4 linked regions of the Drosophila melanogaster genome follow. The protein of the gene in region 4 interacts with the protein of the main gene of each other region in a pairwise test. Each region holds a gene or a part of one and is shown on either strand. Other genes may lie near its edges. The genes, in order: CG3323, RtGEF, CG11905 and CG14625.

Region 1 (6,659 bases), 4.1 Mb from region 4:
GCGGTGCAATGGGAGCAAAATAAGGGACGTTGCGGTATCTGCGGCGATGCCTACCACGTCAAATCGCCCAGGCCGCACGAGGCTGGTGGTCAATACGCCAAGGGCATCATCTCACGCTACTATACCGCCGGTCAGACGATCGATGTTGAGGTGGAACTGACTGCCAATCATTATGGCCGTTTCGAGATGTTCCTCTGTCCGAACAACAATCCGCGACAGGAGGCGACACAGCAGTGCTTCGATCGTTATCCGTTGCTCATTTCGGGCAGTCGAGAGCATCGGTATCTGATACCGCGTGATGCGAAAAAGAAGGATATATTCCGATACAAGGTACGTTTGCCGCCATATGTCACCTGCACACAGTGCGTACTCCAATGGACCTACTATACGGCCAATATGTGGGGCACCTGTGCCAATGGCACCGAAGCCGTTGGCTGCGGCAAGGCAGGTGAGCAGAGAGTTGAGATAGTTTTCGAATGAAATGATTTATATACATTCAATTAACACAGAGACATTCCGCAATTGTGCGGATGTGGCGATCGTTTCGAATACCGGCGGCGGTATTCCACCGCCTTTCGTGAATAACAAATCGCCATACCTGCTCTATTATCGAGATTATCGTGCTCCGGCGGACAACAACATCTTTCCACTTATTGTGCGGTAAGTAGAGCAAACGCAATGTTTCTTCTCAGTTCTCAGGATTTCGAAACAAAGGATTTAAGCTATCTGTTTTCCACTATCCGCTTCTGCCTTTTTTATTCAGTTTATTGGGTTCTATTATCTTTTTGCTATTCTCTTCTGCTTTAGTTACTTATTAACCGTTTCACTTCACACCTTTCACGATACTTTACCGTTTCCGCTTTATTGAACCATCTCTCCTCGCTGTTCTTCCTCTAACAGAATATGTGTTCTTTGTTCAGCTCTGCGAACACGATTTTAACTCTTGCTTTGGTTTCTAGCAATGCCACGCGGCATGCACGCAAACAAGGCAAGGCTAAGCCGCCTGGCCGTTAAACAGCTTACCCGATACCTGCTTAAAACCGCTTACCCGCTTACCCGCTACCCGATCGCAAACCGATTTGATTACGTTTTTCTAGCCCTAGTCGAAACAGCTATGCACCCGCGTTCGGATGGAATCCCGCCCGAATCGGGTCAGAGTTCAAACGAGTAACGGGTAAAGGTAAATTTCTCCACCGCCTACATTTAAGATTTTAAACGGTTATGGTACACACACGCACAGGCACTGCTGTACATAAAGAAATGCTTGAATAAACTTAAAACCTATAGAAATGCTTTTTATATTGTTTCGCTTAACCGCTTCGCTTAACCGATACAGATTCGAATGGGAATCGAAATGCTTTAGATGCTAACGGTTTGCAATACACATGAAATTTTATTAACTTTGACGTGGCTTCGCTTGGGCCCGAGTAAGAAAACAATAAATTCGAAAAATAATGTGAAATCAAACACCGAATCCGGTTATCGGTGCTTTTCCCGCTACTTGCTATTATCGCCACATTTCCCGCTACAGTTTTTCTCTCTCCTACTTTTGCATTCACTGCTTCTTTTTCTATGGCATCTTGGCAATATTTCGATGGTTGTGTAGCTTAGCAGATAATATCCGGAGATCCGATGGCCATGATGAGAACTAATATAACAGCGATCTGGACCATTCCCACCAATACGGTTTTGAGCAACTTCAAACGCACCTTGGGCTCCACGTCACAACGAACGGGTGGATCGGGCGCTCTACGAGTTATTACTTTCCTGGTCTTCTTTGGTCGCGAATCGAGATTGGATTCCAACGCGTCTTCCTCTTGCACTTTGCCGTTCGGCTCCTCCACTTTCATTCGCTTCCTTGTCCTGGGACTGGGATTGGGTGTAAAGTCTGGTGAACTAATTTCCTCTTCCGCTTCTCGAATTTTCTCCAACTTGGACAATTCCACGTCCGTTTGAGTGGTATTGTTCACCTGACAAGGACATTCAGTTAGACGATCGCCCTGCTCCTCTGATTTCACTGCAGGAGTAGGAGGAGCAGCAGCAGCAGCAGCATCATCCACGCCCACTTCGTTGAGACGCACCGAGAGGCGTGAATAGGCAATGGCTCCGCCATAATGGGCCATAGTTGCTCCACCGCCACCCGCCTCGCGTGTGGCCACCTCAAGCTGTTCGACGGTGTTAGCATCCATGATTTTTGAATCCGCATAGGCCAGACTATTGAAGAACATTGTGTCCTGATCCAAAAGATTAAAGGATCCCCCAGCGCCGGGCACTTTTCGCAGTTGCTGAAACAGCATATTCGGATTCTTACGCAACTGACGAAAGTTGGTGCACTGCAATGGATCATCCTCGTTGAGCTGGACCAATGGCGGTTCCTCTTTGGGTGCCGGTAAATAGAAGCATTGCGACTCATCCGCCGTCTTTAGCTCGTTAAGTGTTTTGGTCTCGATGCGAAACTCTTGGACAAAGCCCACATGGCAAACGGTGCCAATGATGCGTGCCCGCATCTCAATAGCTGGTATATATTCCAAGCGCAAACAACACAATTTCCTAATGGGCAGCTCGTCCAATTGATTGGGACTGGTGCGCGGTGTGTAGAAACGTCCAGATGATTGCCGGCTTATATCCGTAATGATTACGTTGCTTCTCGGCTTGGGTATATTGGTGGCCCTTAGTGTCGCCTCCAGTTTTTCGCTCACCTTATGCAGCATATGTATCTCATGCTGCAGCACGGGCAGTTTCTTTGACACCTGATCCAATTCCAATTGGCGCTGCTCCTTCTCGTACTGATCCTTTTCCAGCTGGCGCTGATTATTGTGCCTGTGGCACACCTCCTCCAATTGCAACCTCAAACGGTCCTGACTGCCAACCGCCTTCGACTCGAATTGCTGCTGGCGCTGCAGCATGGCCGCCAATGTGGGACTATCCAACTGGCTGGAGGTGGTCGATGTGCTCTGTGCCAGTCCCTCGACGGGCGAGAGTGTGTATCCCTCGCCGGCGCCACGGCTGCATAGAGCCTCCTCGGAAATGGTCCTCTGCAGCTTGAATGTCTCCTGTTCCTGCAAGCTAAACTCACCATCCTTTGGGCCATTCAAGTGCTCGCTGCTAGCGCGCAATTTTCTGGCAGTCAACAGAGCTTTGACCTTCTTCACCGGCTTGCATACATAGACGAAACTCTTGTTCCCCTCATCCGGCAGGCGTATGGCCTTGGCCAATTTGATCTTGTCGTGATCCATTGAGCTGCCGCTGTCGCTTATTAGCTTATCATCACTGCCGTCCTGCAGAATGCTGCTCTCGCTGTCATGTGGTGTATTCACCAAATGTTTAGCCTTGTGATTGCCCAATGGCAACGTCTGAGATTGCTCCACCGTGACCTCAGTGGTCAGAGCTTCGCGATATTGATTCTTCCTCGGCGATTTGTCCGCTCTGTTTGGCAATTTGGCCACTCGGGGCAGGAAACTACGCTGACGACTGGCAGTGGTGACATTCTTATTGGTGCTTGCATGGGTGCTGCTTAGGAACAACGGAGGGACCGGTATTCCGGACTTTGGTGGTTGTGCGTAACGATGTCTGGGCGACAATTGACTGGTCCAATCCTGTCCAGCTGTGTTGCAGTTTCGAGCCGAACGATTGCTGTTGTTAACTGAACAAAAAAAAAAAAAAAAAAGAAAACAAAATAAGAAAAAAAAATCTGAGATCTTTGGTTGGACGAAACTTACCGGTGGGCAGGCCACGCGACAGCATCTCCGTTCTGGTGTAGGTCATCTTGCGGCGGACATTCTGATTGCCCGTCGCTTGTCCCTCGTTGCCGACGTGATTACCCTGGTCGCCGCCCAGCTGAACCTGTGCCTGTCCCTGCATTTGGATGACTTGCGGCAGTCCCTCCTGGCCGCGATCTAACTGGCGTATCTGATTGATTCGATTGCGATTCATGTTGGTTGCTCCGCTACAGCGATCTATTGCGACATCTGCTATATATATATATATATATATATATATATAATATGTGACCTTCGTTTTGTGTTCGATTTATTGTAATGTCGAGCTTATAAAATAAATATTGGGAGTGGGAGCACTGTTCTAGTCGACTGACTGAGTGAAACGAACAGCTGGGACTAAAATCGAAATCGAACTTGACAGCCGAACGCCGGGTGTTCAAGGACTGCTGCGATGCCATTTCCAAAGCCATCTAGTTGATCCTAGTAGTTTTTTTTTTAGCATCATGGAATTCTTCTTGTTATGTGGCTATGCTATTGATTTCTTTTAGTGACCAAAAGTGCATTGGCGCCCCAGCATTCCGTGCCTTGCCGGGCATCGACAACTGGTGCGAGATCAATTGCCTGCGCTATCCGCCCAATTGTCCGGAGGACGCCTGCCAATGTCCGTAAGTATGCACATGAATAATATGTATCTAACGAGATACATACATAGCAAGTTCGAATCTAAACCCATATCAATTGCACAGTCAGGAGTGCGTGGCCATTGGCGAGTATGCTGGACAGGATGGTGCCGACACCTACTGCATGGACAAGTGTCTCAACTATGAATCGGAGTGTCCGCCGGACAGATGCCGCTGCTACTAAACCGGATTGCGAGCCACAGCTGTGCTGCCCACCCATTGCCCATGCGGAGGATGCGAGATGCGATATGCGAGATCTAATGAATTGAATTTAATCGAAGACACTGCTCTAAATTGTTTGAATTTCAATGGCTTGGCAAGGGGGGGTGCCTCCGTTTGTTGGGCTTTCCGTTTCAGTTCTCAGGCGTCACCGCAAGCCTTACTTACTCCCTCCTGTACGCGTCGTACAGAAAGGGTCGGGTGAATGCCTCGAGCAGCTCGCGCTGTTCGCGCAATCGTCGAGTCTGCGCCATCGGCGACTCAGCGATGTCGATGTTCCGCCGGGCACGGAAAAGTGCCGATACCGTGCTGCCCAGCTGCTGCCAGCGTTCGAAGGCCCGGGATTCGGTGTGCGGCGCATCGAGCATTACTTTGGACGACATCACTGATGCCGACAATTCAGCGATCTGTGCAGCAGCAGCAGCAGCAGCAATGTCTGTGCTGTTGGTTTCCGGTTGAGGTTGCTGTTCAGATTCCAGATTGAACTGAGATTGGGACTGGAGGTCGGGCTCCGTTTCCGGCTCAGATTTGCCAGGAGATGGCAAGTCAACGGACAGCTCATCGGGTGGCGGCATTGTCTGACTGAAGATGAGCACCTCGGCGCGCTCCTCGCGAGCATCATCCTCGCTATCCTCCAGGGGCAGGGCGTCGGTGCTGCCGCTAACTAAATCCCGCACGTGCGCAAAACTGGAAGCGATGCGACGCAGTGAGGGGTCATCCTTTTCCTTTTTCGTCGGCATTGCCGGCGCATCGGCATTGGTTTCCACCGGCGCCTTCTTGCTGTAGGCAGCATCCATTGTGGTTGCTTTGGTGGCGATGACATCGCCGGCATTGGTCGTCTGCTTCTGGCGCATCCTATGCAGATTTATGCTGGAAAATTTGTTACCATAGCTTTGACGCATCTCGGCGCGCTTGCGACGCGCCTCCTCCTCCGTCCTGGCCGCCTGTTGGTCCCTGGCCATCAGTTGCTGCGCCTTTGACATCGTCTAACTCCAAACAGGAAAACGAAATACGGCAAATCTTTAGTTAACACTAGCAAAAAGGAAAAAAAAAAAAAAAACAAAACAAAACACGGACCGAAACGAGCGCTGAGAATTTCGAGAGTTTCAAATGTGCGTCGATTGACTTGGTTACCAATTTGTTTTCAGAAATATAAATACGGTAGCGTGCACTGGAACAGCTTTTGCACAACCTACCAGGATCCTATGTACTACTAATTAACTACTCAATTTTCGCTCGCTTTCAATCACATCTTTAATAGATCATCCTCAATCATCTTAAGCATAGTCTTAACAACTCATGTTGGGTGGCGAAAAGGTTTTGCCAAGCGAGAAAAATTCATATCAATTAGAATGGAGTGGAGCTTTTGGAGTGGATGCAATGCATCCTTAAGCCTTTCAATAGAACTTATTGTGCATGTCTGCGGTGAACAACGTAACGCGATCACAAACATCAATGTTATAATGGAAAGTGTGTGTTAACTGAGTGAGTGTGTGTGGGTGTGTGTGTGTGTGTGTGTGTGTGTGTGTGTGCTAGAACTGCAGCCGCTTCTTCTGGGCCAATCCATTGCCCCTCACCGTAGTCTCGACCAGCTTGCGCTTGAGCGCAGGCTTCGTGTCGCCGGTCTGCGGATTGGCGCCCTCCTTGGCGGCCAGAATGGCCGACGGCATTGGCAACTTGGGACCCACTGTGGGCGCCGGTTTGTTAGCGAAATACGGCATGCTCAGTGCCTCGCGGCAGGACACACGCCGCAGCGGATTCATGGCAAACAGGCGTTGCATCAGATGGATCAAGTCATTGCCCGCGGCGGTGAATATATTGTCCAATGGTGTGCCCGGAAAGTTGCGAAACTGCAGATAGTCGTGCAGTTTGCTCAAATGCGGCCATTCAGCTTCCGTGGGTGTTCCCAGTGTGGAAAAGATCCGTGTCAGCTGATCCAGATCCGAATCGCCCGGCATGAACGGCACTCGCAGCATAAGTTCAGCCAAAATGCAGCCAACTGCCCACATATCCACACCGGTGCCATATTGTCGGGCGCCAA
Region 2 (6,620 bases), on a different chromosome or scaffold from region 4:
CTTCATCCTGCTTCGCATCCACACTCTGATTCTGCATTTCCTGGCGATCTCGCCACGTCGGTACATATACCTCTGTATTTTTGCTGTGGTTGAACCGATTGCCCACAAATATGGTCGGCATGCTGTGCCGTTCTGTCGGTGAAGCTGGCAGAGGAGTGGGTGGCTCTTGGATACTCGACTCCCTGCTGAGATCATCAGGCATACTGGCCAGATTCTCGCAGGCGGTGAATGCACCGCCCAATCTAGCTGCAAAAATGGAACTCGCATCGGAACTTTGTTGTTGCAGGGAGAACGATGGCTTGACCTTAAGAATTGGCTCTTCCTCAACACAGTTTGTGATGCTGCCACCCACACCTAGCTCCAAAGTTGCCGTGGATGTGTGCACACTGGAATTTCGAGTCGTGGACTTCCGAGCCAAAGCTCTTAGTGCTCTGGATCCTATAACAAGAGACTCCTTTTTTAACTCGTTGAGCGCTAGAACTTCGTCCGTGTCCGCGGAATCCAATTTAATGAGGTTGATAGAGGAACAGTGCCTCCTGGCACCCGTGCCATGGTCCACGAATGTGCCTGTGGAGTTGCACATGGAATCGTTCCGCTTGTTTTGGTAAAACTGCACATATTCAAACGGATCCGAGTCGCAGGAATGCAAAAAATCATCTTCAAAGTCATCGTCATAGCTCTCCGAGTCCGTTGGTAGTTCAATTGCATCCTGTCGTTCCAACTCGGACTGCCCCGAATCCTGATTGGTATTGAGATCTTTTAACTTTGCAGATGCCTTGTGACAACGCCTTTTGCGCAACGCAATCCTTTTGAGATCGATGCTCTGGCGAGCCTGCGGATACAGAAGCATCTTTACGATAGCACTCCTCAGTCCGCCGCCTTTAACAAGCCTGGCAAAGTGAGCACTAAGATTGGCGTACGGAGCTGTTGCTGGGTAATTGCTTGGGGGAAGAGTCACACGGAGAGGTCGCACATGGCACGGGGGGCTGGAGTAATAGGCACACAGCGAGAATCGCGTGCAGTAGCCCCGTGAATCCAAATGTTGACTCAGCTGCTCACGGTTTAAAGTGTCGCCAAAACGAAACGATAATAAAGGTGAATATATAGGAGAAATATACTACTTACATGAGCGGCATTTAGGTGTCCTAGCGAAGAGTTGCTCAAGTTACTCAATTGCCGTTTGATGCCCATCGGCAAGCTGGGATTATTGGCATTGAGCAGCTCCACCCACTTGTTGGCCTCATTCGGACCCTGACAAACTGCTACAATGCGATCGATCAAGGGACTGCTTATCTCAAAGGCGTTCTTCAGGGCATCCGTGTCCTCCAGGCGATTCACTATGATCCCAGTTAAGGGTAGCTTGCCCTGCGTGTGAAAACAGATTACAAACAAATTCGCCATGTTGTGCTTGTGTTTCCCACCTCATAGATGAATGCACTCATCCGCTGACTAACGCTAAGGAATAGCAATGTTTGAGGGAAGAGCACAAAGTATCGGTCGCGATGATCAGCTCCAACTGCAACGCTGCCCATGTGGATGATGTCCCCGAGGGTGCTCAGCTCTTGGCCCTGCCATCCACGCACTGGCCCCGTGAGCACTTGCAGCTCCAGCTCCTTTTGGCGACGGGTGGCCGAGCAGGTGGCAGCTATGTCTTTGTACACGGCAACACTCCGCTGGGTGTCGCCGCGATCCGGATGACTGCTCTCCATATGCCGCTCCAGCTCCTGCAGCATGGCCGAGTATTTGTCCAGTCGCCGGAAGGGCTTTGATAGACCCGTCGTGAGCACAAGTAATCCAGGAGTGGCTGCGCCCTGTCGTTCCATATACTTTTCCAGCTCGTCCCTTTTGGAATAGAAAAAAATTTATATTTATTAACAATTGAACACCACAATATATGTATATAAAGCGAGGAGCACATACTTGTACTTATCCAGTATGACAATGGCCTTTGGATGGGCAGCGCAGTACGCCTGGTGCACCTTCTTCATCAAGGGGGCGCTGGTGAGAAATAGTTTTCCCACTCGATCGTTGCACTCCTCGATCTGGATAAGCAAATCCTCGTGCGTACGCACAATCTCTACAAAGTTACACATCAGCTGGGCGTACTCATCCTGACTGAGTCTGTAGAAGAAGCCCTTTTAGATTATATTCAAATTATGTCAGAGAATAGAGAACTTACATTTGCGTCTGTTGCATGGGCTCCAAGAAATTCTCGAGCAGACCCTGCAGCTCGGCCACATGGGCGCGCTCCGAGTCAAGCAGATCCTTGAGCACCACAGACCGATACTCCTGGATCTCCTCCGGCGGCCTTATGGTCTCCGTTAGAGGCAGCTGCACCTTGCACTCATTCACATAGTTGCTGGGAAACCAGCCAGTCTTATCGTTCAGCGTTCCCTCCCACCAGCCACCATCCTCGCGCTGGGTAACCGTGATGACATCGCCCTTCTGGAAGCACAGCTCGTCGTTATTGCTGCCCATGAAGGAGTACTCCGCCTGCACCACCAGTGGCTGATCCATTATCGGATTGTTCAGGGCTGATCCGAGTGCGCACTAGATTGATTCAACTGAAACGAGGCGATGGGTATTGAACTTGAAACATCAGCCAGGCAATTTGCTCAATGAAAAAGCATATGTGAGCATATCGCTCGTTATATACAGCACCTACGCATTATTGCAGCGATGAGCTACATCATCGTCGATCGCTCGGCATTCCTCAGCCTCTTGGAATTAGCCGAGCAATAATTATGGCCCCAAAGAAGAAAACATTTTGAAAACATCTGTCGAGAAACGCGTGCGCAAGTTTCTTGACACTTTTCCGGCGACTCCCCTCCGGCTTTTCTTTCCTAGTTTACTGCAAGTGTCTGGAAAACTCGTGCGCTACACGATGGCCAAGGTCACACAAGCTGCGAGGATCCATTAAAAAATTGGGTAAAAATCACTCGCGCGTATTGTGAAAGAAAAACTTTTCGGGCCATAAAAACAATTTGAATAGCCGGACAGGACAGGCCAACATATAAATCATAAACAACGGCCACGTCGCGTCTAAAAATATTTACGACCTTTTTTATTTGGTTTGTTCGAACAACTCTTTAAGAGATCAACATTTCATTCAATCGTTAAACACTTTCGTTGACGGAAATGGGATTGGCACATTGGATTCTAAAGGCAAGTGCACTCTATACATCAGATATCTATAGAAAGAAGTAAAATCGCAATATTTTCGAATGCCTCGAAAATTATATTACGACATTGTTACTCACAAAAACCCCCAATATTCCAAAGCTTAATTGAAATGGTCTCTTGTATGAGTGGCACTAGGGGGCTAGTTAGTGGATGTCATTATTTTTAAAGTCGTTTATAAAAGTCTTTAGCCTAGTCTATTCGTTGGTACTATTTAAAATTGGCAGCGCGACGTGTGCTTTTATTAATATAGGAATTCCTATGTTTATGCAAAAATTCAATTCTGGACTGAAAATGTTAAAAAGTGATATATTTTCTAAAAATAGATGCATCACATTTGTTTGCTATTGCCGCAATGAGTAAACGCAAAAATATGAACAACTTGGTTTATTTTGCCCAAATAGTTTTCTAGAATACTAAAAATAAAAAACAGACGAAAGTGTACATATTGGCGGATCGCAAGTTCTATATGCCAAACTGGAACGTGTAGTTTTTCACGAATTATTACCGCTCTCATGAGATTGTCAAGATTTATAGGCTGATGAGAATATTTCCCTAAGGCAAGGTCACGTTTTGGTTGCACAAACGCATGAAAATTTCTTAAAATGTCACTTTTTCGCCATCTAGGCACTCGAATACATATACCCGCTACTCTTTTGTATAGATGGGTGATATATACTTTTTCGACAATAAATTGTGGTACGACAATTTGACGTTTTTCGCCGTTTTTCTGCTCTCAGACGATGCACCGCACGCGTTCATTGCTTCAGCGAAACTGCCGAGAAAAGCGGAAAATACCGAAAAGCTGGCGACATATGGCAGACGAATTTTCCACGGCAACCGAAAGTGCCACTCTCGCAGTCATTTTCTGAGAGTCTCGTCGGATCGCAGGAGATTCGAATATATTTTCACATGTACGCGAGCGTTTTCGACCGGACACATCGCATATTTTCATGAAAAATCAACAGAGATGTGACAAAAAATATGAATCCGGGGACAACCTTTTCATCTGCGTTTCCAAAATGAGGATCTTAATTGTATTTCATTGAGAAATAAGCGACACTCGCTGTGCTTTTGTATTGTCTATTCAAAAAAACCACATAAAAATATTTGTGCCAAAATATATGTGGGTTGCCTATTGGATGTGAGATCTTCCATGTTTGTGGATTCAGTCATCAATCGAAAACTTCTTCATATTCAAGCATTTTAGAATTATTTCAGAAAAATTCACCTGTTCCGCTCAGTTTCCTGTTGATCATACAATATATGCCCGTGAATCATAGGAAACGTTTATGGAATGTGTAGACTTGTATAATCTAAAATTTAGAATCGTGCGACACACATTGTGGTTTTAATGGGATTATGGCCTCAGGAAATGTTAAATTCGTCATATTTTTAGAATTTAAGATAGAATATAAATCAAATTTAACCCAAAGACTTTCATTCTGAGACAAACAAGGAGGCTGGAACTGTAAACTCTACTGAATAAAGATGTTGAAGCTTATAGACCGACGGAGAATTTTTGAGCTAGAGTGACCAAGAACTAAATATTTTTTCCACAGAATATTCGTATTCAAATCTGCCGAGATCAGAATGTCGGCAAAAAATATGCTTTATAAGTGCAGCGCCAAACCCAAGCCGAATGTATGTCACTTTCCTTCGCTTCGTTTAACCCTGAAATCACTTTAAGTCCATGGCCGGGCACAATCAAATTTCCGTAGGTGGTGGTGCTCCAAACGATGCATCGGAGGTCAGATGAGCAGATGCATAAATGCAGATACCGAGCGGCACACACGCAGATATGTGGGCACATACAAAGATGCATACATACCCCATTGAAGCTCTCGGAACCAAATTTTAATTAATTCATTAAACTTGCACATGGCGCCGCGCGGATCGGCTATGCGGCCCCATATCCAGATACAGATACAGATACAAGTTTCAGATACAGATACACCGGGCCCACGCTCTCTGAGTATAAGAGACAACTCTTTCGGTTATTAACGATCCGTCGCCGAAGGCGAAATTCAAATGAATATCCCTGCCGCTTCCGGAAATGCGCAATTTGGCGAGTAAAACGTCGCATCCATCGGAGGGGAGCACCCCAAATCAAATCACCGAATGTTTATTTTCGTGGGACACTGGGGAACGTAAACAACAAAGACGAGAGATGTAAAAGAAAGGCGAGTGGATTGTTTTGCTTGGCAAAGTCAGCGGCAAAGACAAACAAAGTCAGCCAAAGACAAACCAAATTTATGCAGTTCTGCCTGGTCGGGACCGGATCCGAATCGCTATCCCTACTAGCTCAGCCGAACTGCACTCAATAAGGCCTCTTCAATGTGTCAATACCGAGATTTACAGGCTGCACAGCCGCCACTTGAGATGCATTTCCTCAGATATATGGACGTAATATAGTTTGATTGCGTCGCTCGCCGTATTTATAGATACTTCGTGGCGGAGGAAGTCATCGGTGGCTGTGGGCACACCGAAGAGGTGAGCGAGTGGGAGTTCCAATAGCTTGTGGGGATCCGCTGTTCTCGACACCAACACACCAAGAACGAGGTCAGCAGCGGAAATATGAAGAAACGCGGTTTCCCAGCAGACACGAGTGAAAATCAGGCGCATGATTTGACGGCCAATGTTTGTTTTGGGAAATCACAGGCCCACATACAGATATTGCCAACATGCTTTCATTAAAGCGTAAGAATAACAACCATAGGGCGCAAAGAGCCAAGTGGTTCGACGAGATCTTACCCTAGACTTTTTCACATTCCCCACATAAATATATACAAACAAATATAACTTTTTAAACCATGAAATAATTCAATTTGATTTAAATAATATTTTCTAGGGTAGCTATTTATTTTGCAAACTGCTTTTGACCTGGTGGCCGAAACCAAGATCATGTGAGAGTAAAGAAAAGCATGAATTTGCATTCAGCTTGCCACCACCTTTCATAGGAAATTCTCTTGGCAGCGGTTCAAAATTGTTCGGGTAATGATGCTTGTTGGTTCTGGGAATCCAATGGGGGAGTTTGGGGCCGGGAGGCAGGTGGCATGCGGCAGGCAGCGGCAGGCAGAACGTGCCTCCGTCGTCGTCCGGCAGTGCATTTTACTTTCGCAGCGAGTGCTAGCAAACAAACGCTTTTCGGGAGGAGCTGGAACGGATGCCCCACGAGGAGCCCTGCTATTGACCCAATGGATTATGCAGGCGGACCTCTGAACTCCAGAAACCGGCAACAAATTACTATTGCACGAGCAGCAGCAAGTTGAACAACAGTTGTGCCGAAAGTACAGGAGTCATTACATAAAATGTATTCTTGAGCTTTAAGCTTTAAATGTCCTTTGTTGGGACTAAACGATTGAAACTGTTTTTAACGTAAATAGGATTTTGTCATGTGTCTAAAAATGTATTAGATTTTCTATATAAATATGTTGCTT
Region 3 (8,641 bases), on a different chromosome or scaffold from region 4:
CATAGGAAAATTGTCTTTGCGTGTTTTGCGTACTGTGTCAATTGACTTTCAAAATAATGCCAAGTAATCAGTTAATGAAAGTGAGCTTTAAGTTAAATCCTTGCTCCTTTACGTGAACAGATCCAATTCCAAATCCGCCGTAGCATGCGCCTTGCCACCCACACCTGCTATGGCCACAGATTCCGGATTGAAGTAAACGTTGGTGGGTACACCCTTCTTCAGATACGCCTTGGAAATGGGCGTGGATATGGCAGTGCCACCATTACCAACCACCGCTTTGGAATGAGGTTCCAGGATGAGTGCAGCCTGCTTGCGTCCCTGGATCGCCTGAGCCTGCTCCGGTCTATAGGGCAGGAAGTAGTTTCCAAATGGGATCTGCGGAAAGTTGCCGGAACTCGTGCTGGTCTTTCCGGTGGCCTCAACCTTCAAGGGAACTCTTCCACCCGCCTGCTTTCTCATTTTTTGTGGGGCAATCGCCTTCTTCAACTGCTGCTTGGCGGAGCGGGGTGACCCAGAAGTGGAGATCACTAGCTTGCCCGGCACCGGAACGATCTCTTCGATCACATACTCGGGGTTTATTTTGCTGACCGCTGAGCGGAGACCCACATCACTCTTCAGATCCCCAGTGGTTCGGGTCTTCACTGCAGGCAGAGCCTGTAGCTTTTCTGGTTTCTCCAACTCGCTGGAGCTGTCATCAGCTAAGCTTTCGGGTCGGCCAGTTGTGGTAGTGGTCGTTGTGGTTGTTGCACTGGCTATGGTGGCTTGATCGGCACTGGCGATGGTGGGTTGCACCACATAGGCCAGGGGCAGATTGTAGGCGGCGTAGTATGGGGCACTGAACAGCACGGGTTGATAGGCTCCATAGGGCGTGAGGTCCTGGGCCGGAGCAGATCCTGCAATGAGTTTTCCGGACTTCTCTGCGACGGGTGCTCCTGGTGGCCAGGCCTCGATATTGGTTGTGCGCCAGTAGGCACTTGAGTTAGGATAGTTTTTGGTTTAGGAAGAGTGGGATAGAGGAAAATGGTGAAGAGAACCGCCGGTTAGTCGTATATTATTTACAGCAATAATTCGAGGGGTTAAACTGTGTCGGGTTAATATCATGCGGAATAAGTGTGATATCTAAAACTACTATGTACAAGATGAAAGCAAAAGCCCAAACAATTACGAAATACAAATATTTATTAGAACACTAGACAATACCAACTATGGATCCTAACTAAATGTGCTAAATAATAGCTATTAGGTTTAAGCCTCGAACTGGATTAGGACTCGAACTGGCCCGTCTCCAGCCCCGCCCCCTGATCCGCCTCCATGGTTGTTGTGCCCGTGGGTGGAGCATAGTAGACCGTTGGTCCTGTAGCCACTATCTTTCCCTCTCGCGGAAAACTTCTCGTCTCCAGATCGGTGCGTGCCAGGGCATCTTTAAGGTCCACATCTGCCGGTATGGAGATCACCTTGGCCCCGGGACCGGCGATGGTGAGACTCCGTGGATGGGTGAGAGCATAGCCACCGGGACCAACAATCGCCGTTCCTCCGCTGCCCGCCGTGGCCACGCCCCCGGGTCCTGCGATAGCGATGCCGCCCCTGCGAACCTTTAGCCGCTGAATGATGATTCCTCCTTCGCGCAATGCCTGCTTTTGGGTGCTTTCCTGAGCGGTGGCCACCTGGCTCACAGTGTGCATCAGGTGATGGCCCTTGTGAGCAAACAAGTGCTTCTCTGAGGAGGCACTGTTGTCCAGTTCCGCGGCTGTGTTCTCAATGGTATCCACATCATCGGCCATCCCATCGCCGGCGCCCTCGTTTTCATCCTCCCATTTATAATCCATCGAATCGATTGAGTGATTCTTCACAGGAACATTGCCAACAACCACAGGACCTTCTCCAGCTGTGGCCGCCATTGGAGGTCGGAAGGGGAGCTTGAAAATGTTTTGAAAGGCATTCTTGATGGCAGTCGAGGTCTGATTCTGCATCTCAGCTATATTCATTCCGGGCATGCGGAATGGACTTAAGCGATTCCGATTGGGCAGCAAGCCACCAGATGGTGGTAAAGTAGAACTCAACAGGACAGGCGCAGATGTAGCCTTGATATTAAGGGATGTGGATCCCTGGTAGATTTGCTGTTCAGCATCCTTTCCACTCAAGCGAACGGGTTTCGCTGTGGAACCAACCTTCTTTCTGTTCAAAGAATTTAATTCCGGTGACGAAGTGGGCTGAATCTTCTGTGGCTTATGCACGGGCTTCTCGCGGGAGTCCAAACGATATTCCTTGAAGTTCACAGGCACTGGAGCCTTTGTGGTGGTCGTACCAATGGTGGTGGAATTACCCCTTTTTGGGGTGCCATCTTCATTGAGAGCCAGTTCTCGGGGCAGGAAGAACAGGTGATACTTGGGCGTCGTCTTGCCCTGTTTTCTTCCAGCCTTCGCCTTGCCATAGAAGCTGTCCACATCGCCAATGATTTTGTATCCCTTTATCTTGTATTCCTGCGAGGCGTGCTCCTTGAGATACTCCTCCTTATTGAGTTTGTACAGGTGCACGGGCACCACAAAGTGGGCGGGCAGCTGCTGTGCTTCTTGTTCGGAACTCGGCTTCGGTACCTCCACCTGTTTGGGTCGGAAGTAGAGTTGCGCTTTCTTCTCCTCCTTGGAGGTGCTCTCAATTGCCTGGCGCAACCTGGGAGGCACATTGTAACTGCCCGCCACATTTCTTGTGAGTTTCACCGCCCTAATTGAGGGTTCTAACAAGGTCTGACCATTACTTCCCGAGAAGTGGTGCTGATGGGCGTGAAATGGCTGATGGGCGGGCTTGGGGAACAGGTATTGACTGGAATCAAGGATCGGTGGCAGCTTGGGCTGCTCCGGCTGCTTCTTCACGTAGCCAAAGGCCTCGTTAACCTTGGCTATCTGCTCGAGGATGCGCTTGGCCTCGTCCGCCTTTTCCGAGGACGGAGTGGCCGCATTGGGCTCAAAGTCCTCGGGAAATTTGACCAGCCGCTGCTTCTGAATTCTGCAAACGAAAGGTGGGGTTTGTTTGGTGGTCTCTATCTGTTGGTGGAGTTAGCTTCTAGTTGCTAATGCAGGGTAATGTGTTGTTGGGTGGAGGGAAATGAGTTTTGAGGGTTAGTCACAAGTCTGGGCTTTTTTCGGTTTAGTCACATAGTTCTAGGCAAGCGCATCAACTTCTACTTGGAATGAGCATTAGCGTTGACACAGTCACATTTGGCAGGCAAGGCATTTCATGGTTATTTGGGGTCTTAGGGCTGGGTAACTAGCTACTAGTCTACTTACTCGACGGCCAGTCCACCGTGCTGTTGAGCCTGGCCAAGTGCCAAAGAGGCCAGAAGCAGTGTTGAGAGCTGAAAGACAAATGTGTGACAATAGATGAATGAGATCTATGATTTATGCCGGTTAGATAGGGTGTCTGTATTCTGATGTCGTAATGGATACAAAATTCACACGTGTGGAATGCGGTCAAGTCCCGAAAGTCGCGAAAGTCTCTCTCTCCCTGCTCCTCCAGCACATTTGCATAATTTCTTTCGCTGCTGAAAGCTACGCCGAAAAGTGAGAGCCAGGTGGCAAGGAACGGCTTATGTACTTGACGGATTTTCCCTCGAATACGATTGTCAAGAACCTCACGATCGGCAAATATTTGACTCACTCTCGCCGGCTCTCCACATCTTTGGCAAAGTCAATATTGACGCAACCGTTAGCCGGTGGAAACGACCAGCCCGCACGCCTATCTATCAGCGCCGAAATGTCACAAAGCCGAGAGGAACTGAGACCAAAAGCCAAAACCAAAGCTGGATTCGAAGTCGAGGCTCGTGTTGTGTCATTGACCTGAACCTCTAGGCGGCTGTTACGATTTCGGTGCCGAAACGTAACTCGAGAGAAGAGATTCTGGCGCAGAGGCTGTCGAACCTGGTTGCCATTGATTTGCAAGAACTCTTGCATCCCCAAGCAGTAAGATGTATTTCTGTCTGCTTTCTTTTGTGTATTTCGCCTTATTTATTATATTGCCCTCACATAACGATGCCGATTCGACCCCATATCAGGTGTGTCTTGTCCAAAAATAAACTGGGTTAATGGCTCGAATGCAAAGTTTAAGCGCAGCATTTTATGTTCTCAAACAAGTTATAAATGAGTCTGTCTCCTGATCTTCACATCCGATCAGGTGTCTTTTGGTCTTAAATGATATTCCAGAGCCATTCCAATGCAGCTAATTGAGCAGGGATTGATGGACTTGGGACGTGTGGCTAACTGTCTACACTCATAAATTGATTAATTTATGAACCACTATCGAAACGATCACAAACTCGAAAACAAACCAGTGCACTTATAGTTAAGAACCCCACACAAATGTGACCGATTGTTTGATAGTTGGGAGGGGGAAAAGAAGACTTATATTACCATTTGTTAGCCCACGCATGATTTTTATACGTTTGCGGCATATTAATTTTATGTTCTTTGAGTCATAATTATTTTTTGGGCTTTTCAACCCAAGTGGTTGTATTGGTTGTGGTTATAATTGAATGGCATTGTTGCTTATGGGAGTCGCTGTAGAGTTTTGACTTTTAAGGGCATGCTTTTCATAATGGGAATATGAATAATGCAAGGAACAATACTTCCTAGGTATGAATGATTAATTCTCACTTTTTAAATTGGGGTGGGGCTAGAATATTGTCACGTTCAAATGGAATGGACAAAAGGGTTTCACTTTTCAGAAAGAATTAACTCTTTTGAAAAACCTTTACTAAGTGAACAATAACTGGCACAAAGAAGTCTTAACCTTTTGCATTCATATAAAAAAAAGTTTCCCCAATATAGTTCTTTGCGTCCAAATTGATTTGTGATTATTATAAACCCCAAAAAGATTTTAGGCACTCTTATTAATATTTGCATATGGCACAGAGCATAATTAAGGCTAATTAAGGCGATCAAAAAAAGGAAAGAACCAAGCCAAGAATCAAAAAAGTCGCTTAGTGAAAGTTAGTGTCGATTCAGAAGTGAAAGAAACAAAAGACTTAAGGCACGAACTTGGGCCAGTTGACGAGTTAATGAGTTCAGCGGCAGCACAGAGCAATAAATGATTAATTGCGGTCAGGTATAAACTAGTTTCGTTTTGTATTCCCAAAATGTGAAGTTAAGTCATTCATGGTATTTAATTTTCTTTTTTATGCGATTTGACTTACAACAAGAAAGCGCATTTTAACGCGAGGTTCTGGTGAATAGTTTCAGATTTTTCAATAAATGCTTGGTGTTCGTGGCGTTGACCAATCCTCGCCTTGACAATATATCCTTGAACTGCAAACGAGAACGGGAATGAGTGGCACTCTGGGTTATCACGCGGCAAAATCACACACACTAAAAGCACTATAAAACCAATCCTGCTGAGCTTTCAATTTACGATTGTTTCAGGTTCCGTTGTTTTTCTTTCTTTTTTTTTGTCACGCACAATAAATAGGGTCTGGAAATGGAACTCCTACCAAGAACCAAGAGCCAGCGAGCCAGGCGACGTCTGAAGATGAACTGAGTGCTGGCCGGGCCCAGCGCGTCTGTTTATAACATTTCCATTAGCGATGCAAACGACGAAGCGAAAGAAATGGCCAAGAAAACAGGGCCCGATCAGGTGTAAGAGAACTGGGTTTTGGGCAGAAGAGAGAGTCGAAGAGAAGACCGCGATTCGGGCACGTAGTCGAGCGCCTTGGCCTGGCTTTTATCTGGGGGCGTGGATCTGTGGGATTTGGTTACCAGCTCCAGGGTACACAACACCAATTGATATGCAGGCTTACAACTCTAGGATTTCGCAGATCGAAATCTTCCCCGATCCCTTGGGTTAGGCAAATAGTTTGCCTAACATATTGTCAGATATTTCTCAAGCATTTGATTAAATGTGCTGACAGTCGCTTCTTCAGTCTACTGTTTCGCAAACTCGCACCTAGCAAGAACACAGAATCACAGCGCTGACTTTGATTAATTGGCCGTTTATTGGCTTGATTGAGTGTGACTGGACAGGAGCGAAGTGACTGGCCATTACAAGTGGAGTGAGCCACGAGAATAGAAGCGAAATGCGTGTGGGAAGTGGAAAGGTAATCAGCTCGGAACGGGCCCAGAACATGACATAAGCCAAAATGGTAAGAGACTTACCGTGATGAAAGAATCGATTCGTTGCCGGGCAATTCAATTAAAATGTTTGCCTGGAACTCGTTAGAAAGTTTCGCACATAGTGACTCAAGAGTCATGTTCTTTTTTTTTTTTTTTGATTTGACAAGCACTTCGGCGTGAAGACTTCACACACTTCTCGGGTATCAACAGATGTCAGGATTAAGACTTAGCTTCGGACCGTTTTTGATCGATAATCATGAATAACAAATGTCTGAAATCAGAGAAATTGATTTCAGGTTCGTGCCTTAAGTCATTTGTTTTCATTGCAGACCAGTCTTTATTAGCCCAGAACCATTAATTTTGTGATTAACTTTGCTGTGATACAACTGCAATTTATTCTTTTATTGGCTTTTATGCCCCGAGCAGCCAGCTACTGACTGCGCTGTGAAATAATGCATATTCCTTGATTAAGCAGCATCGAACGGGGGGTCGACCTTTGTGGCACACGCAGGCATCAATAAAATTGCCACAAGATTTATGGTTTCGAGTGCGCAGAGCCGAAGGGAGCATACGAAATTAGCAGCAACACGTTGTAAGCCCCGAATGCGCCACACGCACCACTTGATCCACAATTGGAATGCAGCAATCAAAAGGCGATAAATCGAACCCCAACTGAAATCCAAGCAGCCGAAGAGCGAGTCGAGAAGTTGAAGACCGAAGACCGAAGACCGAAGACCCAAGACCCAGAGACCTTGGGGCCTATTTATAAATGCAGGCGAAACGGGACTGCTAGTGGGATGTCGTTGCCTAGGCCCGGGCCAATTAAGTCTGACCTTCGGCGAGGAGGAGAATCCCAGCCCAAACCGTTGTTTATGAGGGGGAAAATAAACAGAAACAGCTAACTGGCACCTGGGAGAGCCGGAGCCCCAGTAATTTGTGGTTTCAATGCAGGCCGTTCTGCTGCTACGCTAACCCAATTATGCACCTCGGCTACTTCCCAGGTGAGCCATTGATTTCTACGCTGAGAACGTGGCCATTTCAGCCATACAAACCCTAGACCCGGCCGAATAGAATCTATGTCAAGCTATGGCAAGCTTTTTAGTGCTCTTCTGTACGTTCTTTTAGTGCATTCGGCGAAGAAAGTTTTCGAGTGCGTAGGAACTTGTTTCAGGGAAATCACTCGCTTAGATCTCTTGACATTAAAACTTAATTGTGGCAGTGAAACTTTCGGTCAAAACTGGCCCATGTAATAACTTTTTGTTTTAGCAAATATGCATATTATTATTGCTTATGGGCTTTTCTTGGCTTCGCGCGGCCAGAAATATATTTTATTTAGGCCACGCCGTGGACGCCAAGGCTTTCCGTTCGATTCAAATTATTTGGCAAGTGCGCGCACGCGTCGAACATTTCAAATGCTGTATTATTTTGGTCCCTTTCCGACATGAAATTGCCCAAACAAAAATAAATAAGCCACAGAGCTGACTCAATTTGGCTTTGGGATGCACTGTCCATTTGTAAAATGACTTTGTGCGACCGAATATAACCATTTTTATGATCGGAAAATCAATTAGGGTTTATAACATGCATAAATCGCCGCAGTTGTATCGTGCCAAAGCACGCGCCACAAGCAATTAAAGCTCTTACAATCATTTACGATCAGAAACTGACAATGTTTACCCTTATCTACTTTATGCAAACATTTTTATTGTAAAACGTTTAAAAATTATGTCCAGGCAAGAAAATTTTCTATTAATGCGATGACCGCTTTTATGGAACTCAAGTTATGTTTCTTTTTAAAATGAAGAAAAATATTCTTTCTACCGTCCTATTTAGCATAATATTATATTCCAAGATTTACAATTACAAAAAGAATTCATACATTTTTGGACATCTATTTTTACGTACATTTTTTTTTTAATTTCACCATTATTTATAAATGTTAATATAATGTCTTCCGATCCAAAGATAATTTTGTGCCGCGTAGAAGTTATGAAATCCAGAGCTCTCGATAATATTTGACTATTGCTTGCATTCTATAACCAAGCAAAGCTGCACTCTTTTCTTTGAATGAACTCTGTTTTACAAGTCATTCATTCTTTGACATATGTTTACAGTTCAGATCCCCGATCACGTAGGTCTCAAACACGACAGGTGACACTGTCAGATCTCCAAAGACTTCCAGTAAATAACGCAAAACACCCAAGTAGAACGAGCAATAGTTTTGGCTAATATATTTTATTTACGTGTAGCCACGATATTTATGCAACTCTTGCAGGCTAGTCAAGGCATTTGTTTGGATTCCGTTTCCGATTTCGATTTCCGAGTGCGGTTCAGCGGCGGTGGTGGCCTTGGCCAAATTGCCACCCATGACCACGAATCCGATGCCGGCGCCCGCCTTGTAGCTCAGCTCATGGTAGCCAGCCTCATCGTAGTAGGAGTACTTGCCCAAAACATTTCCCGCCTCATCGGTGTGCTGGGCATGCGACATCTGGTCGGTGCTGAAATCAAAGTTTTGCTGGCTTTGCCGGTGCTTCAGGTGGTTG
Region 4 (7,729 bases):
AGAACAGCTGTTTCCGGTAGGCATCTGGCAGAGATTGGGTCAGCAGACGAGTGTCCGTACTATCCAGTCCGATGAAGCGGTCGTGCTCAAAGTCGCTGGAGAGCGTGTAACTGGGCACGAGCTTTACATCTCGTCCAGGAGCTGCAACTGTCTTGTGGCTACTGGCGTGCGCCTCAGCCGAAGGAAGCTTCTCTAGGTCCAGCTCACGAATGGGTTGCCAAAGGTCTTCCCGCAGCGGAAGCTGTGACTCAAAGCGATTGGAATGCTGCTGCTGGTGCTGTTGGAAGCCATGCGAAGATTGCCAGGGTTCGTGATTTTGGGGTTGCTGCTCTTGAACGAAGTTCCAGTGCTCTTTCCTCTGCTGATGCTGCTTGTGACCCTGAATTTCGTGATGCTGCTGTTGCTGCTGGAAATGAGCTGGTTCGTAGGCATATTCGTTTGCGTGTTGGGACTGATGGTGTTGCAGCTGGTTGGGGCTCTGTTGATAGTGTTCCTGCCCGTAGCTTTCATGCTGTTGCTGTTGGCTTAATCCATAATGTTGTTGGTGGTTAAATCCCTGATAGTGCTGGTACACAGGTCCTTCATTGTAGGCGTTCTGATGATTTTGCTGGTTTCCGAAGCTCTCGTGTTGCTGCTGGGAAAGAGCCGTTTGCCAGGAGTCAACCTCCTTCTGCTGATGGTCGTGCTCCGGCGCTCCCTGGCCATGTTGCTCCTGTGCTGGGTAATGATGTGAGTTGTAGGCATTACTGGGGCCCTGCTGATCATGCTGGTGACTCGAATCCAAGGGGCTGCCGTGCGAGTGCGACTCCTCCGATGGGAGATACTTGTGGGCGGGGCCATTGTAGCGGTAGCCGTTCCTGTTGTTATTATGCAATGGCTGGGGACCAACCACGACGGCCTGGATACACACAGCACCCAAAAGGGCGAAGAACAAGGGGATCTGGCAAGAAAACCTATTAATACAGGACCTTCGAATGAAATTCGCCGGGCTCACCTTTGCGGCTTTGAGCATCGTCTATGCGGCTGATTTGGGGGCTTGAATGCTGAGTGAGCAATGACTAGCTATGGCCAGTGAAAATACGTTTTATACCCACCATCATCGGCCGGCACTGAGCCACTATATGATCTTGAATAAAATCTGTGCGTGAGCGGGTGCCGAATTTGAGCCACAAAAAAATAGAGACAATGTGGCCGCTGGGCTGGCGATTAATCGTCCAAATCTCACGTAACAACACATTTGACACTCTTTTCTGCCATTTACAACAGATTCTTACCCGTACAACTTGTGTTCCTATATAAAACCAGAATGCAAATGCGGTGGATGTACTTCCACCAAGAGAAAGAGTTAAATTGCAAAAGAGGAGGCACTTTTACTGTGACTTACCCAATCCGAGGCTGAATCTCTGGATGTTTCAATCAGTTCGTTCATTGGGTGGATGTGGGCGGCTGCCTTATAATTGTGCGCTAAAATTATTAATTACATCACACACACACACACTCAAACACTCACACCCACACATAGAGCGAAGAAATGAGACGAATAAAAATCGAAACTAAAAAAAAAAAACTGATCAACAGAGGCGGCATTCGCACTTTTCCAAGCAGTTCGAATTTTTGGATAGATATAGAAAATCTAGTTCATGGGGCTATCATGATAATGGAATGAAGTCTTGAGCTATTTAAAAATGTCAATGGATAAGCGATAGTTTTTATTTTAAGTTATTTCATTAATTTGTTTATTGGCGTAATTTGTTATCGTCTGTTTTAGTTGGCTACCACTTCAGCAGTTGGTGGCCATACAATAAATAATCGTACTTACACTTAGATTCTACAAAAAAAAGACAATAGCATATACAATGAAGCATGCTCGAAATTCTGGCATAAAATAAGCTATGAGGGTGGTGGTGGAGTTTTGCGGCTTATTCGATTGATTAATCGAGGGATGGGGTTTACTATTTGGGCGGTGGCCTCAGAGCCAAACTGGCTTCCAAGTCCTTGACCTCCGATGAGCGCAGTTGCTTCTTAATCGCCTCTTGTCTGGGATGACCGCCTCCCCCCCGCTTGCCGCGCTTTCCAGCTCCGGTCCCCGTGTTACTGCCTATGCCAGCCACGCCCCCCGACCCGGCACCGCCTGCTGGTTGACCTCTGACCTTGTACGTGTGCTGATAGCCGTAGCCCTCGGGATTGTTGTTGAACTTCGGACTGTAGCTGTCGTATTCAAGACTCGGGTGCTTGTTGCTGTTGCTGTGCGAGTGGGCGTGGCCATGGGTGTGCTGGTGGGCGTGGCCGTGCGCGTGGGACAACCAGGGCTCATGATCATCTAGTAGGGTTTCCTTCTTCAGCACATAATGATAGGGATAGCCTTCTTCGTTAAGGATTAGTTTTGATTCATTCTCAGTCTCTGCTTCCGGCTCGGCAAAGTAACCGGATGAGGAGTAGCCTTTGTAGTCCGGATGCAGTTCCCCGGATGACCCGGAAGCCTTGAGCTTGTGGCGATATTCCTGCAGAGCTGCCTCTTTACTTTTGTAGGGCAAGGCATTGATGTCATGATAGATTTCCGAATTGAAATACAACTTGTGCTGCTTGCCAGAGTTTGTAAGCCTCTCCTGATCTTCCCGAGAATCACGCTCCCTTTCCCTTTCCCTTTCCCGCTCCCGTTCCACTCGATCTGGAGTGGGAACTACGTGGGATAGATCGAATTCTTCGATGTTCTTGAGGGCCGCACTGTGGTCAAAGTGCTCGGCACTTTTCAGAGGCAAAGTGTAGGGCTTCGAAACCGTCTTCACTGTGGCCGTTTGCAGGGGAGCTCGGGTCTTGATTTTGTAAATAAACTCCACATTCGGACTCAGTTCGTCGACGGGCAAATCGGGGGCCTGATATGCCGTTTCCGTTTCGGACTGAAAGTGCTGAATGGGCTTTGAATTCGTTATTGCCAATGAAGAGCCCCTCAGTTTTCCGGCTATTTGGTGGCTGTGGTGCTGTGGGTGGAGCACCTGCTGCTGGTGGTGATGCAACTGTTGTTGTTTTGTCGTTGGTGGGACCGTATACTTGGGCCTCACTGTACTGCTGCTGTAACGCTTTTCCTCCGAGTGTGAATGCGAGTGCGACGAGGGAATGGAACCGGAATGGAGACCAGATGAGAGCGTCTGCGACTTGTAGTAGGTCTTGGTAATCGGCGGAGGCGGTGGTGGTGGAGGAGGCGTGGCCGTCTCTTGGGGCGTACTTATGATTTTACCTTCGGCCTCTAGTTCCTTCATGTACTTGATCACGGACTTTTCAATCTGTTTCATTATCTCCGATTTGGGAATTTCCGTGGAGGCAGAGACCCTGACTTTTTCCTCGGCCTCGGCCTCGAGATTTCTGTAAATTTGCGGCGGTTGATAGGGGGCGTAGATGTTGTTGTAGTTATTGCTGTACTTGGGACGATAGTGGCGTTCGATGTCTTGCTCTTGGGCCTGGACATGGGACTCGTCCTCGGTTGCGTGTTCGTAGAGTTCATAGCTCCGGGTCACGGGTTCCTTTTCGTAGACTGGCGCAGGCGCTAGGGCGGGCGACGGCGGAGAAGAGGAGGACGACGATCCAGACGAGGATGGCGACGAGGGTCCTGAGGACAGGAGCAGGGCCTGCTGATGCAGTTCCTTCTGCAATTGCATCTCCAGGATCTCCCTATCCCTTCTCTGTTCCTGGTAACTTCTCTGGGTGGTAGGTTGCTGTTCCTTTTGCGCCTGGATGTGGTTGTTGCTAGGGTTCTGAACTTGGCTTTGACCTCGCAGTTGAGTCGGTGGCTGTTTGTAGGCCAACTTGATGGCATTGGCCACATACTCGGCTGCCGATTTAGAGTCTTCTAGGTTGACATACGCTCCGGATCCGGATTCTGCGGTCTGCTTTGGATGCGATTCGTGCTCTGGGCGAACGAGATTTAATTCCACCTGGCCAAAGCTGTAATCTGGGAAGTATACAATGCATGTCGATTGCGGATTAGTGCATACTTTTAGGCTTGCCAAACAAAATGGGACGGTTTATTACCTTTGCTGGGCGCCTCCTTTAATCTGCTTTGTGTAACCGATCCCCGCCTGGAGTAACCACGATCGTCGGAGCCCCTACGGCTAGCTGCCATAGCCAGTTGATCGGGAAAGGCCTTCTCCCCAGTCACCTCCAAAGAGGACACCGCTCCTGAACCTCCCGATCGACGGCGACTGTTCCCAGACGTGCCTGAGGTCACAGTCACGGCACTGCAAAGCGTCGACATCTGTTCAGAGAAATTAGAAAGAATCACAGCTATTTGAAAATTACATAATCGGAGATTCGCATGGCTTACAATAAAAACCGTACATTAAAATAAAATGAGTAAAACGATAGGACAAACAAGGAACCTTGGCCAACTGATGAGTGTGCCATTTCAACGGGTGCTAGTTAGGCGAACTGCCTTAAATTGGCCTCTTCGTTTCAGACTCATTGGCTTGTGCCTACTTCGCAATTAAACTAATTAAACTCCGCCAATTCGCTTTCGCTTTCAAGGAGGAGAAGAGAAAGAAAAGGAGAAGGAGGAGGCGGTTGATAGTCAATTTCTGTATGATTGAGTTGGCGGCGCTCAGTTGGCCAAGTTCAATGGACCGTTTTCCAGAGGAGAGGGCAATGACACACCGGCATGAAAAACCCGCAGCACGCAATTGCGAATCGCCAAATGGATCCTTTTCGATCGAAATGGGAAAAGAATTTGGCGATTATGTATCAAAAACGTAATTCTCAGTCATTCGGGACATATTTTCCCAAAAAGGCTAATCTTTTTGGTCTTTGTTTAAAAATTTGGTGTTATGTTCCGAAATGTAATTTTAGCGGGATAAGCTTCAGCAGTTCATTACTGAAGATTCAAATATTAATGTTTTTAAAAAGTTTTAATTGAGTATTTTTACATATTTTTTTCACTTATTTTCGTTTTTTATCGTAAGATACATTTATATATATTTTTTTACATATTTATTTATATTTTTTACAAATTTATCACTCTTCTTCACTGAATTATTAAATAAAAAAAATCTCATTTTCAAATGGGCTGTTTTTTTACTTCTGGAGATTCTCTCGAGTCCAACATTTATGAATTTTCAAATACATCACTACACTTTGGATCACTGGCCACCAAAAAAAAAGGTACTCCTCGTGAATCGAATTATCCGAATCCTTGGACGTGAGCGCACTACTTACGATGATCAGCAGACACAGGCACCATTGCCGCCGGCTGAGAATGTTTGCTCCCATATGGACAAGGTGGTGCTCCTGATATTGAAGATTACGGAATCGAGATGTGAGCGCTGACATCATGGCGCGCCAGAGTCTCAGCTGGAATTGTTAGCGGCCAGCTGTCGAGGCGAGGCTTTTATAATGATGCGAACCGCTGCAGCGGAAAATTTATGCGAATGTGCGCGCCAAAGAAAAGCGAGAAAAGTGCAAGTGCAAGCGAAGAGAGAGAGACAGTTGGAGATAGAGAAGGGGAGAAAGATCGCTTCACTTTCGATGACAATTCGAATCGTAATAAGCCATCGACGCACAACACGGCGTATGCGTGATAAGTTCGCCCATTATAAGTCGATAAGGTGCAACAGAGAAGGCGATAGGCCAGCACGAAAGAGAGAGGACAACGGGACAACTGGTTTATAGTTTTTAGTTTCTTGGCTTCAGTTTCGGCCTCTGTTTAAGCTGCCACTTTGATGGCCAATTAAGCCATAAGCTAAGCCAAACAATCCCCATTCCACCACAGGCAGTTCAATGAAATGTTTGCCGGCACAGGTGGGTAATACCCGTAATTGACTTGTAAAATCCTCGCCACCGAAGGCATTTATTGGGTTAAACGACAAATAGTGGACAACGGGCAGTAGTCACTAACCCACTCTGGAGTGGAGTCCGGAAAGCAGCAGGACTTTTGCAAGTCCAATGACTCGACAGGGAGCCTTTAGCACCCTTTAAATTAAACTTGAAACAAATCCATTAACACTAGATCTGTCTTATTTTATGTATTCTTAAATTTCCCCATTTGCTGTATTCTCACAGTGTTTACATTGCGGGCAGTCGGTGGTTGGTCGTGGCAGATCTTCACTCGGTGGTTGGCTTCATGGTCACTGATTCAGTGCATAATAATTAACAAGGAGCCCAGACAAACGGAGAAAAGTGTTCGCTGATTTATGATGATTTTACCGAAAGAGCAGCAGCAATTGCCGTTGCCGAAAACCAACAGCGATGATTTCAATTTCGATAAAGAGATCCGGACTTAGAGAACTGGGAGTACGCCTTGGAATAACTTGCCAATTGGCATTTCATTGATTTCCCTTACGTGCTGGCCGGGGATTTCTTTATTGCGGACTATGGCGCTGGCCCACAGGGCGTATGATTTATATTTTAATATTCTGCATGAGAAGCGAAAAACGAAACTGAAACTGAAAATGAAACAATTGCCACACTTAACACTAACGATAATAGCCGTAATAATAAAAGCGAAACAACTTTGCAGCGGCTAAAGCAAAGCAAAACAAAGCTGGCAAAGCGTTTCGGCTCCTCCACATATGTGCAGATCAACAACCTTGTCAGCAGTCGAGTGCGATTGCCATAGGTACATAGATACATATAGCCATGGCTATCCATGCCCCGTTATGCGGCCAAAAACTGCAGAAACTACCAAATCCACTACCAGCTGCCAGCTGCCAAAGAAACAGCTGTGGCAGCCGCACCAGATGAACAGTCTCAATACCAATTGATTTGCCAAGGATTGGGTTTTTAATTCAATTTAACTAATTCAATCAAAGATTTAACTGCGGCTTGAAATGTATCGTAAATGTATTTAAGTTCTTCATCTCATACATCTTCATACACCGATCAGCATTTATTTATTTCTTTAACTTTCCTATTGCCTTTGCTGCACTGTGGCAGCTGCAACGCTTCGACAATGCTGAAAAATGTTATGTTTGTGGATCGGATTGCTTACATCTTTCATCTCCCACCCTGCCACACATTGTAAAGCAATTAGTTGTTTATAGCCGGAGCTGGTATTTTCTTTCAAGATGATCGTTTAGATCTGAAAAGTGACCTCTTCTGCTGCTAAAAAACGCAAGTTCTGGCCAGAGAGATCAGAACTCACTTTACGGCAAATAAAGTGACAGAAACCTACTTAAGTCCGACTTAATCTAGTGCACCAGTCATCTACTGTAATTTGCTACGATTTGCCGCCCCAACAAGCCCAGTACTTTCACATGGCGGTCTCTTCCTTTTTGCCACATCCATCTTGCCACATGGATGTTTACGTAAAGATTCGAGATACTACTGACAAACAATTAGCATAATCAGCTGCCGCAATGGATGGTAAATTGTGCCAATTTCTATAATTTTGAAATGCGGCAGCGCCTGTCGACTACTTTCCACTCAAATTAAAAAGCGGTCGGCAGCTTCCGCACTCACTGGCAGATTCGCATTTTCATTCGTCACTTGCATTTGCATTTGCATTTGCATTCCCAATGCCGTACCTCCTCCTCCCATCGGGATGGTGATCTCTACGCCTGGCCATTTTGCACGGGGAATTCAGAAGTGCGCCGTCGATCACATTGTTTTGTTTGAACCTTTGGGAAGCCTTCCAATTTGCTTTCAAAGTAAGGCCATTCAGGGAATCAGGGTCTTTTCCCTGTCCCGGAATCTTATCAATCATCCAGTACTTCCTTTCGCTGTGCCGAAAAAGTGAAAAGCACCT

Evidence for each region.
Region 1: the proteins of CG14625 (region 4) and CG3323 interact in a two-hybrid assay, tested with the Drosophila melanogaster proteins (one large-scale study listed by BioGRID).
Region 2: the proteins of CG14625 (region 4) and RtGEF interact in a two-hybrid assay, tested with the Drosophila melanogaster proteins (one large-scale study listed by BioGRID).
Region 3: the proteins of CG14625 (region 4) and CG11905 interact in a two-hybrid assay, tested with the Drosophila melanogaster proteins (one large-scale study listed by BioGRID).

What each region holds. Positions count from the first base shown.
Region 1 is NC_004354.4:5,301,612-5,308,270, forward strand, and holds CG3323 (uncharacterized protein), read right to left. Parts: upstream 4,081-6,659; 5' UTR 3,934-4,080; coding exon 3,720-3,933; intron 3,644-3,719; coding exon 1,608-3,643; 3' UTR 1,377-1,607; downstream 1-1,376. Other genes in the region: CG42749 (uncharacterized protein), read left to right, coding at 1-448, 510-660, 4,268-4,384, 4,466-4,583; CG17764 (uncharacterized protein), read right to left, coding at 4,783-5,601; Cdk7 (Cyclin-dependent kinase 7), read right to left, coding at 6,151-6,659.
Region 2 is NT_033779.5:20,351,307-20,357,926, reverse strand, and holds the start of RtGEF (Rho-type guanine nucleotide exchange factor), read right to left. Parts: upstream 3,961-6,620; 5' UTR 3,860-3,960; intron 2,565-3,859; 5' UTR 2,518-2,564; coding exon 2,180-2,517; intron 2,122-2,179; coding exon 1,921-2,121; intron 1,843-1,920; coding exon 1,422-1,842; intron 1,366-1,421; coding exon 1,126-1,365; intron 1,052-1,125; coding exon 1-1,051.
Region 3 is NT_037436.4:16,930,009-16,938,649, forward strand, and holds CG11905 (uncharacterized protein), read right to left. Parts: upstream 5,529-8,641; 5' UTR 5,480-5,528; exon of another isoform or gene 5,298-5,479; 5' UTR 5,201-5,297; coding exon 5,186-5,200; intron 3,353-5,185; coding exon 3,285-3,352; intron 3,004-3,284; coding exon 1,263-3,003; 3' UTR 1,164-1,262; downstream 1-1,163. Other genes in the region: CG13022 (uncharacterized protein), read right to left, coding at 8,338-8,641.
Region 4 is NC_004354.4:1,197,145-1,204,873, reverse strand, and holds CG14625 (uncharacterized protein), read right to left. Parts: upstream 5,329-7,729; 5' UTR 5,257-5,328; coding exon 5,203-5,256; intron 4,250-5,202; coding exon 4,027-4,249; intron 3,947-4,026; coding exon 1,953-3,946; 3' UTR 1,717-1,952; downstream 1-1,716. Other genes in the region: CG11381 (uncharacterized protein), read right to left, coding at 1-940, 995-1,012.